Caenorhabditis elegans: one gene and its partners. The protein of the gene in region 3 purifies or fractionates together with the protein of the main gene of each other region. This does not show direct contact. Each region holds a gene or a part of one and is shown on either strand. Other genes may lie near its edges.

What was found.
Region 1: the proteins of lonp-1 (region 3) and art-1 purify together in Caenorhabditis elegans (affinity purification with mass spectrometry, with the first as the bait; one large-scale study listed by BioGRID). This does not show direct contact.
Region 2: the proteins of lonp-1 (region 3) and C47B2.2 fractionate together in Caenorhabditis elegans (co-fractionation; one large-scale study listed by BioGRID). This does not show direct contact.

What each region holds. Positions count from the first base shown.
Region 1 is NC_003280.10:6,970,223-6,974,242, forward strand, and holds art-1 (putative very-long-chain enoyl-CoA reductase art-1), read right to left. Parts: upstream 2,014-4,020; 5' UTR 2,013-2,013; coding exon 1,895-2,012; intron 1,851-1,894; coding exon 1,620-1,850; intron 1,576-1,619; coding exon 1,436-1,575; intron 1,146-1,435; coding exon 836-1,145; intron 782-835; coding exon 654-781; 3' UTR 523-653; downstream 1-522. Other genes in the region: C15F1.5 (RING-type domain-containing protein), read right to left, coding at 131-259, 307-363; sod-1 (Superoxide dismutase [Cu-Zn]), read right to left, coding at 2,654-2,751, 2,796-2,949, 2,994-3,152, 3,196-3,279, 3,611-3,658. UniProt on the Caenorhabditis elegans protein: Catalyzes the last of the four reactions of the long-chain fatty acids elongation cycle. This endoplasmic reticulum-bound enzymatic process, allows the addition of 2 carbons to the chain of long- and very long-chain fatty acids/VLCFAs per cycle.
Region 2 is NC_003279.8:12,961,520-12,966,510, forward strand, and holds C47B2.2 (Phosphoribosyltransferase domain-containing protein), read right to left. Parts: upstream 3,061-4,991; 5' UTR 3,052-3,060; coding exon 2,885-3,051; intron 2,298-2,884; coding exon 2,056-2,297; intron 1,530-2,055; coding exon 1,448-1,529; intron 1,137-1,447; coding exon 932-1,136; 3' UTR 523-931; downstream 1-522. Other genes in the region: tba-2 (Tubulin alpha-2 chain), read right to left, coding at 3,295-3,427, 3,481-4,001, 4,052-4,744.
Region 3 is NC_003279.8:10,676,373-10,684,268, reverse strand, and holds lonp-1 (Lon protease homolog, mitochondrial), read left to right. Parts: upstream 1-1,894; 5' UTR 1,895-1,896; coding exon 1,897-2,118; intron 2,119-2,170; coding exon 2,171-2,272; intron 2,273-2,321; coding exon 2,322-2,413; intron 2,414-2,743; coding exon 2,744-3,193; intron 3,194-3,853; coding exon 3,854-4,016; intron 4,017-4,069; coding exon 4,070-4,383; intron 4,384-4,993; coding exon 4,994-5,246; intron 5,247-5,301; coding exon 5,302-5,570; intron 5,571-5,621; coding exon 5,622-5,880; intron 5,881-6,272; coding exon 6,273-6,512; intron 6,513-6,558; coding exon 6,559-6,801; intron 6,802-6,850; coding exon 6,851-7,015; intron 7,016-7,062; coding exon 7,063-7,206; 3' UTR 7,207-7,347; downstream 7,348-7,896. Other genes in the region: sdha-2 (Succinate dehydrogenase [ubiquinone] flavoprotein subunit, mitochondrial), read left to right, coding at 1-208, 252-441, 493-891; spcs-1 (Signal peptidase complex subunit 1), read left to right, coding at 1,229-1,324, 1,381-1,536, 1,582-1,647; ttc-1 (TPR_REGION domain-containing protein), read left to right, coding at 7,466-7,591. UniProt on the Caenorhabditis elegans protein: ATP-dependent serine protease that mediates the selective degradation of misfolded, unassembled or oxidatively damaged polypeptides as well as certain short-lived regulatory proteins in the mitochondrial matrix.

The DNA of each region.
Region 1 (4,020 bases), on a different chromosome or scaffold from region 3:
GCAACGAGAGTTCACAAGACTACAGTACCCTTCAAAGACGCGCACCAACTTGAAATTAACGAAATTGCCGTTTCGAGACCGTATCTTTGGCGGAAAAGTCATAAAAGTTCGAATCTTTGTAATTACTAACTTCGCAAGTGCTTGTCATTGGTTCAGGAGCTGTAAGACTCGAGTAACAATGTGCAACTGGACAGACACGCATCTTTTTGGTTGATTTTTTGAGGCATTTTGTGCAGAATGTGTGCAAACAGGGAATCAACTGGAAAATTTGAATCCGTATGGCTGAGAATAATGCAATAATCTCACTTGAGTTGCTTCTTCACATGGTTTTAAATCATTGCAAACTGCACACCAAATTGACATCTTTGGATAACTTGAAATATTTCGAAATAATCTTCTTTCTACATTGAAGTCGGGAACATTTTAAATTTTCGATGTAAAAAACAATATCACGTTATTTTTATTTAAACATTTTTTCTCTTTTATTAACGCTTTTTTTTCACCAACCAAGACTTGCAACATTTTTCAAGCAAACATTTATCTGGAGAAATTGTCTATTTAATAAATTACTGATTGAAATAAGCGGATTGGTAATAATAGAACTGCAAGAGTACATGAAAAATACAATAAATATTCGGCGCAAATGCGATAATTTAGAGAACAAATGGAACGATGGCCTTGCGATTTTTTGGGTAATCTGGGAACTCCTTGAGGTAGTTGCGGTGCTTTCCTTGGGCCCAGATTGCCATTTGAGCGAATCCAGCGGTGGTGAAGATGATTGCTAAATTTTAAGATTATGAATAAAATCAATTATATTTACAAGTTTTTTATTTACCTGGAAGAGATTGGACCATAATGGAGAAGAAGATCCATGATGCGACCTCATATGTGTAGTTCGGGCACGAAACGTAGTTGAAGAGGAGAGAAAGTGGATTTCCATCAGGCTTTGGAATACGACGTTCGCGGGTTCCAGCTGGACGGAGGTTGCGGAGAAGAATGTGGATCGAGAGATTTCCAAACTCCGAAATCACGAAACCGGCAAGTCCGAAATAAACCTGAAGATCTCCGAAAGCTGGTGGTGTGAAAAGTGGGTGATTGACAAAGTAGGCGACGAAGGCAGCGAATCCCCAGTAATAGGAGCAGTTCTGAAAATTCAGGAAATAGAAATTTGTTTATCGATTAGTGAATTTTATTTTTAATCTTGTCCGTTTCAAAATTCTCTACTAAAACTACCTAAAGTTGTACGAAATATTCTAACTTTGAATTTTAGGCATATTCAACGTTTTTACTAGTTTTTTTTTGTTGCTATATTTCAGATTGAAAATTGCCGTAGAGCGTAAAATAATTTTTTCATCAACGCAACTTTTGCAACTTACTATTAGTGTCCCTTATTACTTTTTACTCAATTGTTTTTATTTTTATTTTTGAAACATGCCTTGACTAAATTGAACTGTGGCATAGTCGAGTTTCCGAATCTATGGATGAATTGAGTTTCGAACAATCTCTTGGCGTAGTGGAAGCTCCATGCAAAGAAGGCGATTTGTACTGCTGGATGCATGGTAGCATTGACAGCGGCTGTAATGTAAGATATTGTGTGAAATAATATTAATCCGGCTCACCTTGTCCATAAATGAAAGTTGGTCGAAGATAGAAAAGCGGATAAACGAACAAAGGTCCAGCATACTCAGCCATGAAGACAGTCTTCCAGGCGATTTGTGGTCCGAGATCTCTTACATATAAAACTGCTTTTTGAGATGAAAGTCCAAGATCGGAGAGTTTTTGGTCATCAGCCAATGGTTTACCCTTTGGTTCGACACGGAGAGCCTGACGTTCTTCGGTGAGTTTCAGCTCTGAAATTATTTAGCTAATAAATCATAAATTTCGATTCACAAACTTTTCTGGGCAATTCGCTTCTTGATAGCTTTGATCGTTTCGGATCCAGAAATTCCCTCGAGGGTGATGATGAGATTGTCCGTACGCTTTGCGTCATAAACCTCCAGAATCCCACTCATTCTGAAAATTGAGGTTTTATATAAACTGAAAAAAAGGAATTTTCACAAAAACTGGCTCTATTCAGAAAGAAACGAATTTTTTGCAGTCCACTATTATAAAAATGGTGTGATTTTCTTTTACGGGTCGCTATCAATTGAACTGATAAAAAAAGAAGAGAAGCATTGTGAAAATGCCAATTGAAACGAACGACCTCGAAATAAAATTTACTAAATGCATTAAAAAATAGAAATTATTATATTTTCAAAGATTTTTGTCTGCCTTAAATAAGGGAAAAGCGATAATATTTAAACGTTTTTTGAAATAGCCTCATTATCAGGTGATTCTTATTCAACTGCTCGAAAAATCGCCCTTCTCCGTCAGAACTTGTTGATAGTTTAACGGCTGGCACAACATTTATGGCAGTTTGGTAACAAAACTGAAAAGTGAAGTATTGATATAATGAGCAGAGACATTGAGATTTGTAAAACATAGAAATTGGAAACTACAACCTTTATTTGAAATTTTGAAGAAATTTTATGTGAAAATATACAGTAGTAGGAGTAGGAACAACGGGATTCTTAAGAATATAACGACAAAGCAAGAAATGAAAAATTGTCTTTAGTAGGAATTGTGTGGAGATTCAGAGACGCGATTCAGGTAGTCACTGGGGAGCAGCGAGAGCAATGACACCGCAGGCAGCACGAGCTCCGGCGTTTCCAGTCTTCTTGGACTCTTCTGCCTTGTCTCCGACTCCCTCGCCTGGAAAGTTTACTAAATTGATTTTTAATTCGAATTGTTCATACCGAGGTCGTCTTGTCCGGCATGAACAACCATAGATCGGCCAACGACAGTGTTTGGACCGTAAAGCGTGACGAGCGTGTCGGTGAGCTTGATTTTTGCCACTCCATCGGCTCCAGCTTCCACATTTCCTAGATCGCCTACGTGACGGATCTCGGACTGAAAAAATATTATAATTCAAGCGATATAAAAAATTTCCATACTTTTGGTCCACCATGAGTCTTTCCAAATGGATTGAAGTGTGGACCGGCAGAAATGCATCCGTTGGTGGAATCACCATATTGGTGAACGTGGAATCCATGAAGACCGGGAGTAAGTCCCTTGATTTCTCCTTCAATAACTGCCTGGTCATTTTCGGACTTCTGAAAAAGAATACAAATGATTTAAGCGGAAAACTCGGCTAACCTGTGTGATCCAGATAGTACCGGTAACAGTTTCTCCACGAAGAACAGCGACAGCACGGTTCGACATTTTTTGAGCGGCTTCGACCTGTAAATTCAACGAATTTTCTAGGGAACACTCTAAGGAATATCACGGCAAAAAGTTTAGAATTAGAAAAAAACAGGCAGATCACAGTCGATAGATGCAAAATTAAAAAAGAAATGGTAAACACGAGAGAGAGAGAGAGAAGGTGGAGCGAGATGAAATAGACAACATTGTGTGTGTACCCGCCTCTCGGTCGCAGAATTTTGTAGCTATGTCTCTAGTTTTTGTGGGTTTCTGATGAAAATGATGATAATTAAGGTAAAGGCAACAACACAACGCCATAGATCAAATAGGCCCAAGTTGCGAATGACGAATGTTTCGGATAAGCACTGACCTGCGGAAAAATCGCGTTGGAGACCTGAGTGAGAAGATTCATAAACATCACCGATCTAAAATACTGAATCTACAACTTTGAATAATAAAGAAACAATGGAAAGTATGATTATGACACTGATTAAAAACCACAAAACAAAAACACAGAAAAAATAAGCGGCTCACAAATTCAACGTCTCCACTCTTGAAAACTCGAAATTGAACGATTATTTCAAGAAAAAGGATTTTTAATAACTAAATTTTAATTAATTTTGAGAATCGGAAGAAAACCGGGAGTGGAGAATCGTTTCTATAGAAACTACGAAAGCGTAAAGAAAATTTAGAGAAAAAAGAAAAAAACAACAGCAAAATAGTGTGCACGCATCAAACTTGACGAGCAATGCGCGTCAAATATGCTGTTCGAGAAAAACC
Region 2 (4,991 bases), 2.3 Mb from region 3:
TCCGATGCAAATTTCATTTTAACACTAACAATTTAATCGATCCAGTTTCTTTGTCATTTCGACAATTCCACGAGATGAGCCAGTCATTTTGACAAATTACCTGAAAAATAGGAAATTTATTTGATTGATTCAGTTTTCAATCGTTTGAAGTGAAGAAAACAATAAGAAAATACGGATAAAGTGAAATATCTTTGTAAAATACGTTACCTAACGGTAAAATAACAAATTTTCCAGTAAATTTCGTGAAAACTGAAAATTTCTTTTCTGTCTAATAAATTTTCACAAATAAAAATCACAAAAACGACAGGAAAAATGCAAAAACTATGTTTGAAATTTTGAAAATCCAAAAACAATAAACTAGGAATTCTGTGCGTCAAATGAGATGCCCGGTACGCAAGTTGCGTACTCCGAGAACTACCGTAGTTTCGGAAACTTTTTTTGAAACGGCTAATTTTAACTTATTTTATTTTCAGAATATAATGAAAAAAAAACAATTTGCATGCAAAGTAGCAAATAGAATTTGAAATAAAACGTTTATTTTCGTAAAATTTCTTAAATTTGCAGTGAAAATCCAAAAAATGAGGAAAAATCTCACTCTCAACTTTGCGCGTAAAATATAGCGCCCTGTACGCACACCATGTACTCAGAAAATGACTACCGTAGTCATTGCATCTTAAAATAATGTTTAATGAACCGAAAACAACACAAAAGAATTTAGTTATGCGGAAATTCAATGAACATTTTGTCAAAAAAAAATAGGGGAAATCAACAGTGAAAAAGTAAAAAAGAAGACTACAATAACTACAAACTACAAACCAATAACGAGAAATGAAGAGATGATCAAGTGAGAAAAGTGAATAAAAATACTGCATTTGAAACGGAAACGATGTAGTTTGTAGTGTCAAAAGGCTACAAACTACACAAAACTAGTCTAGACAGCACCAAAATAGCTGGTTGAGAAATGATTTGGATAGAGAGATGTGATATCGGAGGCGACGACAGTGATATACGGGTACTTTCTGGTTATATTCTTGAGTCCAGTCGGTGAGATGAATAGGGAAACCAAGTAGATATTCTCATCTGGGACACGTGCCTCTTTTAGGACTTCAATTGCCTTGCAAACTGTCGTCCCAGATCTGAAAAATTGGAAATTTTGATAAAAATGTGATTTTTTAAATTTAAATGTTTCTTCAGTTAAAAAAATTTCAAAAAAAGATTTTTTTTGCACAAAAAAAAACTCAATTTTTTAGACAATTTTTCGCCTTCTGGGGAAGTTTTAGTGATCGACATTTTTAAAGTTTCTACGTCAAACAAATTATTGAATTTTACGATTTTTCGCCGGGAAAATCGATTTTTTGACATTAAATTTTGTGTTTTTTTTCTCAGATTTTTCAATCAAATTTATTTCGGCCAGATATTTTTTGTAGTTTGTAGTCTCTGAGCGTACCCTATCGTTGGGTAGAGCAGTAGAACTCGACGCGACGTGATATCCGGAAGAAGCCTGGCGTAGAGCACTTTTTGTTCGTCGCCTGTAACAAAAAGTGGATGAAAATTGGAAATTTTGCGAGTTTTGAGGTTTTTCTTTTAAAAAAGTATCGCCAGTTTTCGACAAACTCAGTAAAACTCACGATTTCTACCACTTTTCTGGGTAAAAACGCAAATTTTACTATTATATATATTTTTAATATATTTTTCAGGAATTTTACCATAAGAACAGTACATATTTATTACAGATTTAAAAAAAAAAACATTTTTCGGCTGAAAAAACGAGTTTCTCTACGAATTAGAGGTATTTTTGAAGGAAAAGTCAGACTTTTCACAGATTTTGAGGGGTATTCAGGAGAAAATCTATAAAAACTGGATATTCACCAGATTTTTCCATTTTTCAAGCAGAAATCTGCATTTATAAGAGATTCCAGGTAATTTCAGGGAGAAATTGATGAAAATCGCAATGATTTTGGTGATTTTTCGCCATTTTCTTCTATATTTCTCAATTTTCTTCGCCTTTTCTAGGAAATTTCCCAAATTCCTCTCGATATCCTCAATTTCCCGTACCAATCAGAATTTTTCCAATTCGAATACACCGACAACACTGTCTCAATGAAACTTCCATCGCCTCTCCACTTCTACACAACGATACTCCACAATTTCCACGATTAAATTGAATTCCTTCATATTTGAAGCCTGTTGGTGTGGTAACTGTGTGCTCAGTGAATGGAAGATGATTGAGACATTCTTCAATTACAAGCCGCATCAGACGATCCGCGTTGAATACGAAATCCGAGTGATTTGTTGATCTGGAAATTGGAAGATGGTTGAGGCTATGGGGCTACAAACTACAAACTACAAGATTCTCTGAGCCTCAACCAATTTTTACAAGGAAAACTTCTAAAATTGCGAGGAAATCACGAAAAATACCGTTTCGGACCCGGAAATTTATGAAAATATCGGAATTTTGACTCAAAATCCGAGAAAATCCTTGAAAAATTCATTTATATAAATAAATATATTCATGTTTTCTAACAAAAAAAAACGTTTTTTAATCAAAATTTCAGTTAATTTCACGGCAAAAAGGCCAAAAAATGAAAACGTTTTCTATTTTTCTCCTAATTTACTGGCAAAATCGCTTAAAATGCCGTTTCTGACCCGAAAATTTGTGAATTAACGGATTTTTAAAATCTAAATTCCAAGAAAATCGCTTTTTAAGGCAAAAAAGGAGTTTATTTAAAATCAACAAGTTTTTCCGGCAAAAATACCGAAAATCGTTAATTTTTCCGCAAAATCTGGAAAAAGAGCTTGGAAATATGAGTTTTCAGCCCCTTTCTTTAAATTTTCACCCATAAAATGTTTGAGGCTTCAGTCTATTCCCAGTCAAACTTCATACCTATCTTTCAAAATTGTCTGCAATTCAAGTATCTGTGGAGTCTTCTTCAAAAGAACAAAATTTGTTCCCTTCTCTTTCAGATTTGCCACCAACTGCCCGACACCGTCTTCCTCATCACCAACCTTTGGAATCACTGGAGCACATGTTCCATTCACATGCCCAGCCATTTCTGTAATCTAATACTGATCGATGAGCAGAACAAGCGTCTGCTGCTCAAATACTGTCGGCTTGTACATGTTTGCTCTGCGGCACTCAACTCGGTATAAACGTAAAGTGTTCCGACTTTCATTCTTTCTCTTTTTAACAAAAAACATTATATAAATAAAATACTTCATAATACATTGTTTATGACGATCGAACTGCAGTAATAAATTAAAAGTCAATCGCCAGGCAGTTGATTGTGGGAGCATCTAGTACTCCTCTCCCTCCTCTTCTCCTCCCTCGTTGGAGTCAGCTCCGACCTCTTCGTAGTCCTTCTCGAGAGCAGCCAAGTCCTCACGAGCCTCGGTGAACTCTCCTTCCTCCATACCTTCTCCGACGTACCTGAAAAGAAACACATTGAATATTTGAAAAGTATAGTTTAACGGGCAACATACCAGTGGACGAAGGCACGCTTGGCGTACATCAAGTCGAACTTGTAGTCGAGACGAGACCAGGCCTCAGCGATGGCGGTAGTGTTGGAGAGCATGCAGACGGCGCGTGGCACCTTGGCAAGATCACCTCCTGGCACAACAGTTGGTGGCTGGTAGTTGATTCCGACCTTGAATCCGGTTGGGCACCAATCGACGAATTGGATGGTTCTCTTGGTCTTGATTGCAGCGATGGCGGTGTTAACGTCCTTTGGAACGACGTCTCCTCTGTACAAGAGGCACACAGCCATGTACTTTCCGTGACGTGGATCACACTTGACCATCTGGTTAGCCGGCTCGAAGCAGCTATTGGTGATGTCGCTGACGGACAGAGCCTCGTGGTAGGCCTTCTCAGCAGAGATGAGTGGAGTGTAGGCGGCCAATGGGAAGTGAATTCTTGGGTATGGCACCAAGTTGGTCTGGAACTCGTTGAGATCAACGTTGAGGGCTCCATCGAATCTCAAGGAAGCAGTGATTGAGGAGACAACCTGTAAAAAGAGAACATTAGAATACAACAATCAAATTGAGCTCAACAAACCTGGGAGATGATTCTGTTGAGGTTGGTGTAGCTTGGTCGCTCAACATCCAAGTTTCTGCGGCAGATGTCGTAGATGGCCTCGTTATCGACCATGAAGGCGCAGTCGGAGTGCTCCAAGGTGGTATGGGTGGTGAGGATCGAGTTGTATGGCTCAACGACGGCGGTTGAGACCTGTGGAGCTGGGTAGATGGAGAACTCGAGCTTGGACTTCTTTCCGTAGTCGACGGAAAGACGTTCCATAAGAAGCGAAGTGAATCCGGATCCGGTACCTCCTCCGAAGGAGTGGAAGACGAAGAATCCTTGGAGTCCACTGCAGTTATCAGCGAGACGACGGATCCTGTCGAGGACGGTGTCGATGAGCTCCTTTCCGACGGTGTAGTGTCCACGAGCGTAGTTGTTAGCGGCGTCTTCCTTTCCGGTGATCATCTGCTCTGGATGGAAGAGCTTCTTGTAGGTTCCAGTGCGAATCTCGTCAACGACAGTTGGCTCGAGATCGACGAAGATGGATCTTGGAACGTAACGGCCGGATCCGGTGTCTGAGAAGAAAGTGGTGAACGACTCTCCCTCGTTCGTTGATTGAGTTGGCATGGTTCCATCGGGCTGGATTCCGTGCTCGAGGCAGTAGAGCTCCCAGCAGGCGTTTCCGATTTGGACTCCGGCTTGTCCGACGTGGATAGAGATGACCTCACGCATTTTCTTTTCTGAAAAAGAAAATTATAAAGTTTTAAAAGAGAAAGACAATTGTTATATGAGAACGAAACGATTGCGGTGAGAGCAGAGACGAAAGTGAGCCCAAATAGGGCCGAGAACGCACGAGCGCGCGCGCTCTCTCAACATAGCCCAACATCGGACACCGCGGTGGACAAGTCATCGATTGCAAAAAAATGATGACGAAATAGCGGGGCGCCAGTGGAGAGCGGATTGAAATGAGTGCAAAGGA
Region 3 (7,896 bases):
TCATTCCAACTGTTCACTACAACATGGGAGGAGTTCCTACGAATTACAAGGGACAAGTTCTCGATTTCACACCTGAAGGAGGAGATAAAGTGATTCCAGGACTCTATGCCGCTGGTGAATGTGCAGCACATTCAGTTCATGGAGCAAATCGTCTCGGAGCAAATTCCCTTCTAGATTTGGTTATCTTTGGAAGATCTTGCGCTCTCACGTTAGTTTCATTTATCTGAACAGGTTTAAACTAAAGATTTCAGTATCCTTAATGAGAACAAACCAGGAGATTCAATCCCGGAGCTTCCGGTAAATTGTGAAGAGAAATCGTGTGACAATTTGAACGGACTTTTGCACTCAAAAGGAGATATTTCATCTATCGAATTAAGACAAAAGATGCAAATGACAATGCAGAAACATGCTGCTGTTTTCAGACGGGGCGATCTTTTGAAGGTAAGTAAATACAGATTTATTCTATTTTCAAAAAATATTGGATATTTTCAGGAAGGAGTCGATAAAATGTCCTCCATCTACAAAGAGCAACAAAATTTGAAGGCGTGTGCCGACTCTGGAAAAGTATGGAATTCGGAGCTTGTCGAAACTCTCGAGCTTCAGAATTTGCTTATCAACGCCAATCAAACCATCGTCGCCGCCGAAAATCGCACTGAATCTCGTGGAGCCCACGCTCGTGATGATTTCCAAGAAAGAATTGACGAATATGACTACAGCAATCCACTTGAGGGACAGCAGAAAAAACCGTTTGATCAGCACTGGCGCAAGCATTCCATCATCGGTATCGATACGAAAACTGGAGCTGTTGATTTGACATACCGCCCAGTTATCGACAAAACTCTCGATAAATCTGAAACCGACTGGGTTCCACCAAAGGTCCGATCGTATTAATTCGTTGTTTTGTTCTTCTTTGTTCACATAATTGTGTTCGAGCTGTATGTTTTTTTCTTTTGTGTGAAATTTATTTGTTTCCTGATTAGAATAAAGTTTATTGAATTTAATAATATATCAATTTAAGCTTATTTAAGATTTATTTCTGGTTTTCAATCCACAAATATTTGCAAATGTTCTTCAAAATATGAAATGTGCAAGTGCGCTCCATGGAAAATCTCTATTTTACGTCATTGTATGAAGGAGTGTTGGAACAAAATTATTCCGAATTCGTTTTGCTTTAATCTTTTTGTATTTTTATAACTGAATTTGATTTTTAATTATTACATAATTAACCATGGACGGAATGATTGCAATGCTCCCTGCTCCACTGCAGAAACTATCGTCGCATATTGATTTTCAAGGACAGAAAGTCGCCGAGAGAACTTACCAGGTAACAAACCACAATTGATTGACTGAAATTACATAAAATAAAGCAATAAAATTTAGGTAATCCTCACTATTGCTGGAATTATTGGCTTCCTCGTTGGATTCTGGACTCAACAGCTTTCATATGCCATGTTCACAGTGCTGGGAGCATCTGCGTTCACAGCTCTCATCATTCTTCCACCATGGCCATTCCTCTTCAGAAAGAACCCGATTGTGGTGAGAAAAAGTTACAGAAATCGTATAAAATGTTTTAATTTTCAGTGGCACACACCTGCGGAACCACAAGAATCTGGAGACAAGAAAAAGGAGACAAAGAAGACGAAATAAATCGGCAATGATGCAAAAACTAAAGAAAAACGTTTTACTCGGGATCTGGTCAAATATTTATTTTAAATTAAATTATTTATGAGCTCTTCTTCATTTTTCTGTGTGATATAAGAATCATCTTCTGAACCATAATAAATTCATTTTCAATCTACAACGATTTTAATATTTTATTGACGTTTTAATGCGACACATTTTACTTTTTTATTCTGAAGTCTTGAATCCTCCTATCCTACTCCCCGTTCAACAGAAATGTACCGCGCTGGAGCGGTTTTACTCCGCGGGGCAACTCGCACGCGGCTTCTTGCCGCTGCTTCAGCACATCAAAGCTTTGCCACATTTTCTCAAAGAAATCAATCGATTTTAATGATGAAATCTATGGAATTAGCAGGAAATTCAGGAGAAAGGAGGTTTTATTCCACTCATGACGATCCAATCGCTGTGGATGACTCATTGGAACTGTACAAAGATTTGGTAAGTTTTTTAGAATTTCAGTCATTAAAAGACGATTTTAATTGATTTTCAGGGAGGAATGTCACCGATTCAAGTGCCAGCCGATATGCCAAATGTCCCAATGTTAGCTATCAATCGATATCCACTATTTCCAGGATTTATCAAGAAAGTTGATGTGAGATTAGATAACGTATTTGGCGGAAAACTGAAAATTAAAATTTCAGATCGTGAAAGATGACAATTTAAAAGCACTGATCAGGCGACAGCTTTCACTGAAACAGCCGTATGCTGGAGTTTTTGTGAAGAGAGACGATGAGTATGTAGTTTTTGAATGGATCTCTTCTTGACTTAAAAATGGAACAATCGCCGAAAAACTAGTCATGTGTTGATATACGGAGCTCGTGTACTCCCCGAGGAAATGCTTTTACAGTTTTTGCCTGATATTTTTGATTTGGAACCATTTTTGTTATTGGAATCATCAAATAACAGAAAAAAATCAATCTTCTATATACCGACTATAACTTCTAAAAAATTTATACACTTTTTCAAAATTGTTTTGTATTTTTTTCAATTTTGCAACAAAAAATGGATTAAAATTGCTGAATTATTTTTGAATTCCCGCGCAAATTAGTATATTTTTTTCCAGAAACAAAGAAGAAACGATCACATCTCTATCAGAAGTCTACCCAACTGGTTCTTTCGTTCAAATTATCGAAGTCCGTGATCAGGGAAGTGTTCTTGAGCTGGTACTCAGTGCTCATCGAAGAATTCGTGCTCTTGAACCAATTGACGAAATTACACCGAAAAATGAGACTCCATTGAATGGAAGACGTGCTCGTGGAAAGCGTGCAGCATCAGCAACATCACCACTCACTCCACCACCATCACCACCTCCACTTGCACCTTCAGTGGCTTCAGTGGCTCCAGAAATTTCAGCAACAGAAGAGAAAGAAGAGAAGACAACACCACCATCAGCAACTGGAGAAAAACAGAAAAAAGGAATTATTATGGTTCGAACCGAGAATGTTGTTGCAGAGCCAGTGCCCAAGAATAATGAAACGAAGGCTACGATGATGGCCATTGTGCAGACGATTCGGTAATATCAAGTTGCGATTATTTAGCCATTTGTACCTCAATATTACGATACCCGGTCTCGACACGACAAACTTATTGTAATCTAAAAAGGATATATCCCTTTGAAGAGTACTGTAACTTCAAATATTCGTTGCTCGGAAATTTTCATCGATTATCATAAATTCTCGTTGAAAATTATATACATAAGATTAAAAAAAAATCGCAAAGTTCGAAAATAAAATCTGTGTCATTACATTTATAAAAAACTTGTGTGTATTGTGTGAAAAGCTATGAGAAATCGACGAAAATTCCGAAAAAAACAATAGTTTGAAATTAAAGTAATCTTTAAAGGCGCACACTTTTTTGAATAACAGGAGAAATGCGACCGGGTACAATAAAATGTATATTAATCATTTTGAATCGAAAATACGGAAATAATCTGCAAAATGTTATGTATTTTACAATGGCCAAAAGTAAAATCGAAAAAAAAAACGAAAAAGATTGTAGTAAAATTATTGAAAAAAGGATAAAACTATAAATTCAACAAAAACTGTGTATATTTCGAGAAAAAAATATAGAAAATTTGCATTTTTTCCCCTGCAAATTGAAAAAAACCTTGATTCCGAAAGTTATTTTTTGATTTTATGAGTTTCCAATTTCCTAAATTCAAATATTATTTCAGAGATGTAGTACAATTCAATCAACTCTTCGGTCAACAAATCAATCTTCTACTTCATCCATCTCAAAATGTAATCGATAATCCAGTTTATCTATGTGATCTTGTTGCAACTCTTGTACAATCTGCAGAAACAAAAGATCTTCAGGAAATGATGGATGAAATTGATGTAAATTTAAATTTAAATTTTTTTAAATGAAAATAATTATATTATTTTTTTAGGTTTCAAAGCGACTCAAAATTGCTCTTCTTCTGATTCAAAAGGAGAAAGCAGTTGCCAAATTGAAGTATGATATCAATAAAGATGTTGAGAAGAAGGTTCAGGATCATCATAGGAAATACTTGCTCAATGAGCAATTGAAAGTAATCAAAAAGGAGTTGGGAATTGAAAAGGATGAGAAGACGACTATTATTGAGAAAATTGATGAAAGAATCAAAACATTGGCAGTTCCAGAATATGCATTGAAAGTTATTAACGAAGAAAAGACAAAGTTGCAGTTTTTGGATCCGCATTCCAGTGAATTTAGTGTCACGAGGTAGATATTGAAAATTATATTAGTTTTATAGAAAAATATATATATGCATTTAAAAGGCTAAAAATGCTCGGAAAAGTAAACTTTTTTCCAATTTTCCAATCGAATTTTTTTTCGAATTCTTTTTCCAAAAATCAAAATTTCTCCAAAAGCTTCCGGATTGTTTATGAAGTGTTCAGAAACCAGCTCCTGGATGTCGTGAAAAATTGAAATGTTTTTTTTTATCGAAAAGTTGACAATTCGACATTTCAATTTAAAAAAATTTCAATTTTCCGGAATATAAAAAAAAATAATAGTTCAGAAATTTTAAACTTTTTTATTAAAACCCCAAAAAATTGTTTAAAATTAAACGAAAACTCCAACTTTCTAAATTTCTATTATTCACTTTTGGTTAATCTATTTATTTTAATTTTCTTCAAAATGAGAACTACAGGATCGACGACCAGGAACTCCGCCCACTCCTTTTGATTGGTTCGCCGATTGGTCTTACAGTTCTCGTTTTGAAAGAAATTCAAAACTGAAAAATATCATTTTTAAGTGCATTTTTTCCTGAATGTCAGACTATTTTAAATGTTTTAAAGCAAAAAAAAAATTGAGTTCCGTTTTTTTTCAGAAACTACCTGGAATGGTTGACATCAGTACCCTGGGGACTTACATCACCCGAGAATCGTCGTCTTTCAGTTGCAAAGAAAGCTCTTGATGAAGGACATTATGGAATGAAAGATGTTAAAGAACGAATTATGGAGTTTATTGCAGTCAATTTACTTCGAAAATCAATTGGTGGAAAGATTCTATGCTTCCATGGACCACCTGGAGTTGGAAAAACTTCTATTGCGAAATCAATTGCGACTGCCTTGAATCGAGAGGTTCAGTTTTTTTTCCTAAACTTTCTCTTGTTAAAATTAAATCTAACATTTGCAGTATTTCCGTTTCTCAGTTGGTGGAATGACTGATGTGGCAGAAATCAAGGGACATCGTCGTACATATGTCGGTGCAATGCCTGGAAAAATGATTCAATGCATGAAGAAAGTGAAAACTGAGAATCCTCTTGTTCTTATCGATGAAGTCGACAAAATCGGCGGAGCTGGATTCCATGGAGATCCCGCATCGGCACTTTTGGAACTTCTTGATCCAGAACAAAATGCGAATTTTAATGATCATTTCTTGGATGTTCCAGTTGATTTGTCTAGGTTTGAAGATGCTTCTCCTCTTGGTTCTATAATTTTATTTCTAATTTTCAGAGTTTTGTTCATTTGCACGGCAAACGAGATTTCAAAAATCCCGGGACCACTTCGTGATCGAATGGAAATGATTGATGTTAGCGGTTATTTAGCCGAGGAAAAAGTTGAAATTGCTCATCAACATCTCATTCCTCAACTCAGAAAAGACACATCTCTCGCCACAGAACAACTGAAAATTGAAGATTCTGCGTTGGAAGAGCTCATTAAGCATTACTGTCGTGAATCTGGAGTCAGAAATTTACAGCAACATATTGAAAGAGTATGTTTTGGTAAAAACAGGACGATCCGCGAGACCCGAAGAACTCGGGGGATGTCCAATTGGGGGGATTACCAACTCGGGGGATTGGCCCCGCCCACATAACCGTGGCTTGCAATACGCCCATTTCTGCAACTGCCGCACGGTTTTAAAACTGTATTTTTCTCAATAGAGCGAGAATTAACAAGAAAAAATAATTTTTAAACCGTGCGGCAGTTGCAGAAATGGGCGTATTGCAAGCCACGGTTCTGTGGGCGGGGCCAATCCCCCGAGTTGGTAATCCCCCAATTGGACATCCCCCGAGTTCTTCGGGTCTCAGATCCGCGCCTCGAGTTGATTGTTCTGTTTCGACAATTATATTTAGATTGCTTATAGAAATTACCTTTTTTTTCCAGATTTTCCGTAAAGCAGCTCTTCAAATTGCTGAACAACAAAACGAGGATGAGGAGCCAGCCGAAAAAGCAACAACTGCTATCACTGAAAACTCAGAAGCCGAACCAATCACCTCTACATCATCTGCAGATTGTTTAAAATCTTCAGCCGAACAAATTGTAGTTTGCACAGAAAACTTGCAAAAGTTCGTTGGAAGACCCAAATTCACATCAGATCGAATGTATGAAGTAACACCGCCTGGAGTAAGCGAAAAAACTGTTTTAAAAACTTAATTCACGTTCCGTTCAGGTGATAATGGGTCTCGCATGGACAGCAATGGGTGGATCTGCACTTTATATTGAAACTGTATTGAAACGACCTGTTGATTTGACAAATGATAAGGATGGAAGTATTGAAACAACTGGAAATTTAGGAGATGTAATGAAAGAAAGTGTTCGAACAGCGTTGACTGTTGCAAAAGGAATTCTTGCAAGAGAGCAACCCGATAACAAATTCTTCGATAAAGCACATATTCATATTCATGTACCCGAAGTGAGCTTAATCTTGAAATAATTTCAACTAACCAATTCCATTTTTCTAGGGAGCAACACCAAAAGACGGACCATCTGCAGGAGTAACTCTTGTCTCAAGTCTTCTTTCACTCGCTTTAGACCGACCTGTTGTGCAGGACATGGCGATGACTGGTGAAATTTCATTAACCGGAAAAGTGCTGCCAGTTGGTGGAATTCGGGAAAAAGTGATCGCGGTGGGTCCTCTGTTCTTTTTTCGTTCAAAAATTTCATTTTTTTTCAGGCTCGCCGTGTCGGAGCAAAACGAGTCTTCCTTCCAAATGAGAATCGTCGAGACTTTGATGATTTACCAGAATTCATGAAATCAGAGTTGGATATTCGATTCGTTTCGCATTATGATGAGCTCTACGAGCATCTCTTCCAATAATACGTGTCCCTTTCTTTCACCCCCAGTTAATACCTTTCAGATAGATTTTGTTGATTCACCTAATCCATTTTTTCTTGTTTTGTTATTTTAAAAACGTTTTGAAAAGAAAAAAGTTCAGGCTATAAACATTTTCCTACTTTTATTTTTGTTTTTTTTTTAATTTTAATAATCTCAAGTTGTTTGATCTTTTCAAATATTTTTCATTTAAATTCTAAATAATATTCTCTTTATTTAAAAACCATTATTTTCAGCTTTAGAAATGGCAATTATCGAAGAAATTTTCGAGGATGAAGAGGATCAGATAACAAAAGTGGATTCATTGAAAAAAGAAGGAAATAATTTCTTTGCGAATGGAGAATTCGAAAAGGCGAATGAAAAATATCAGGTATTGGAATGTTTTGCAAACGTGCGGCGCGGTTTGAAGCTTGTCGATTTACGCAGGATTTTGTACTACACGTGGACAAGTATTAATTCAATTTTCATATAATTTTATAGTAAAGAAAACAATAATTTGAAAAACAAAAATTTTGATTTTTAAAAATATCGAAAAATTACAAACAAGAATTTTAGCTGAAAACTACACAATCATCTCAAAAAAAATCCCCACTTGTCCGAGTGTAGTACAAAATTCTTCGTAAATCTACATGCATACAACGCGCCGCAGACTTGCAAAATTAACGGCTTGATCGG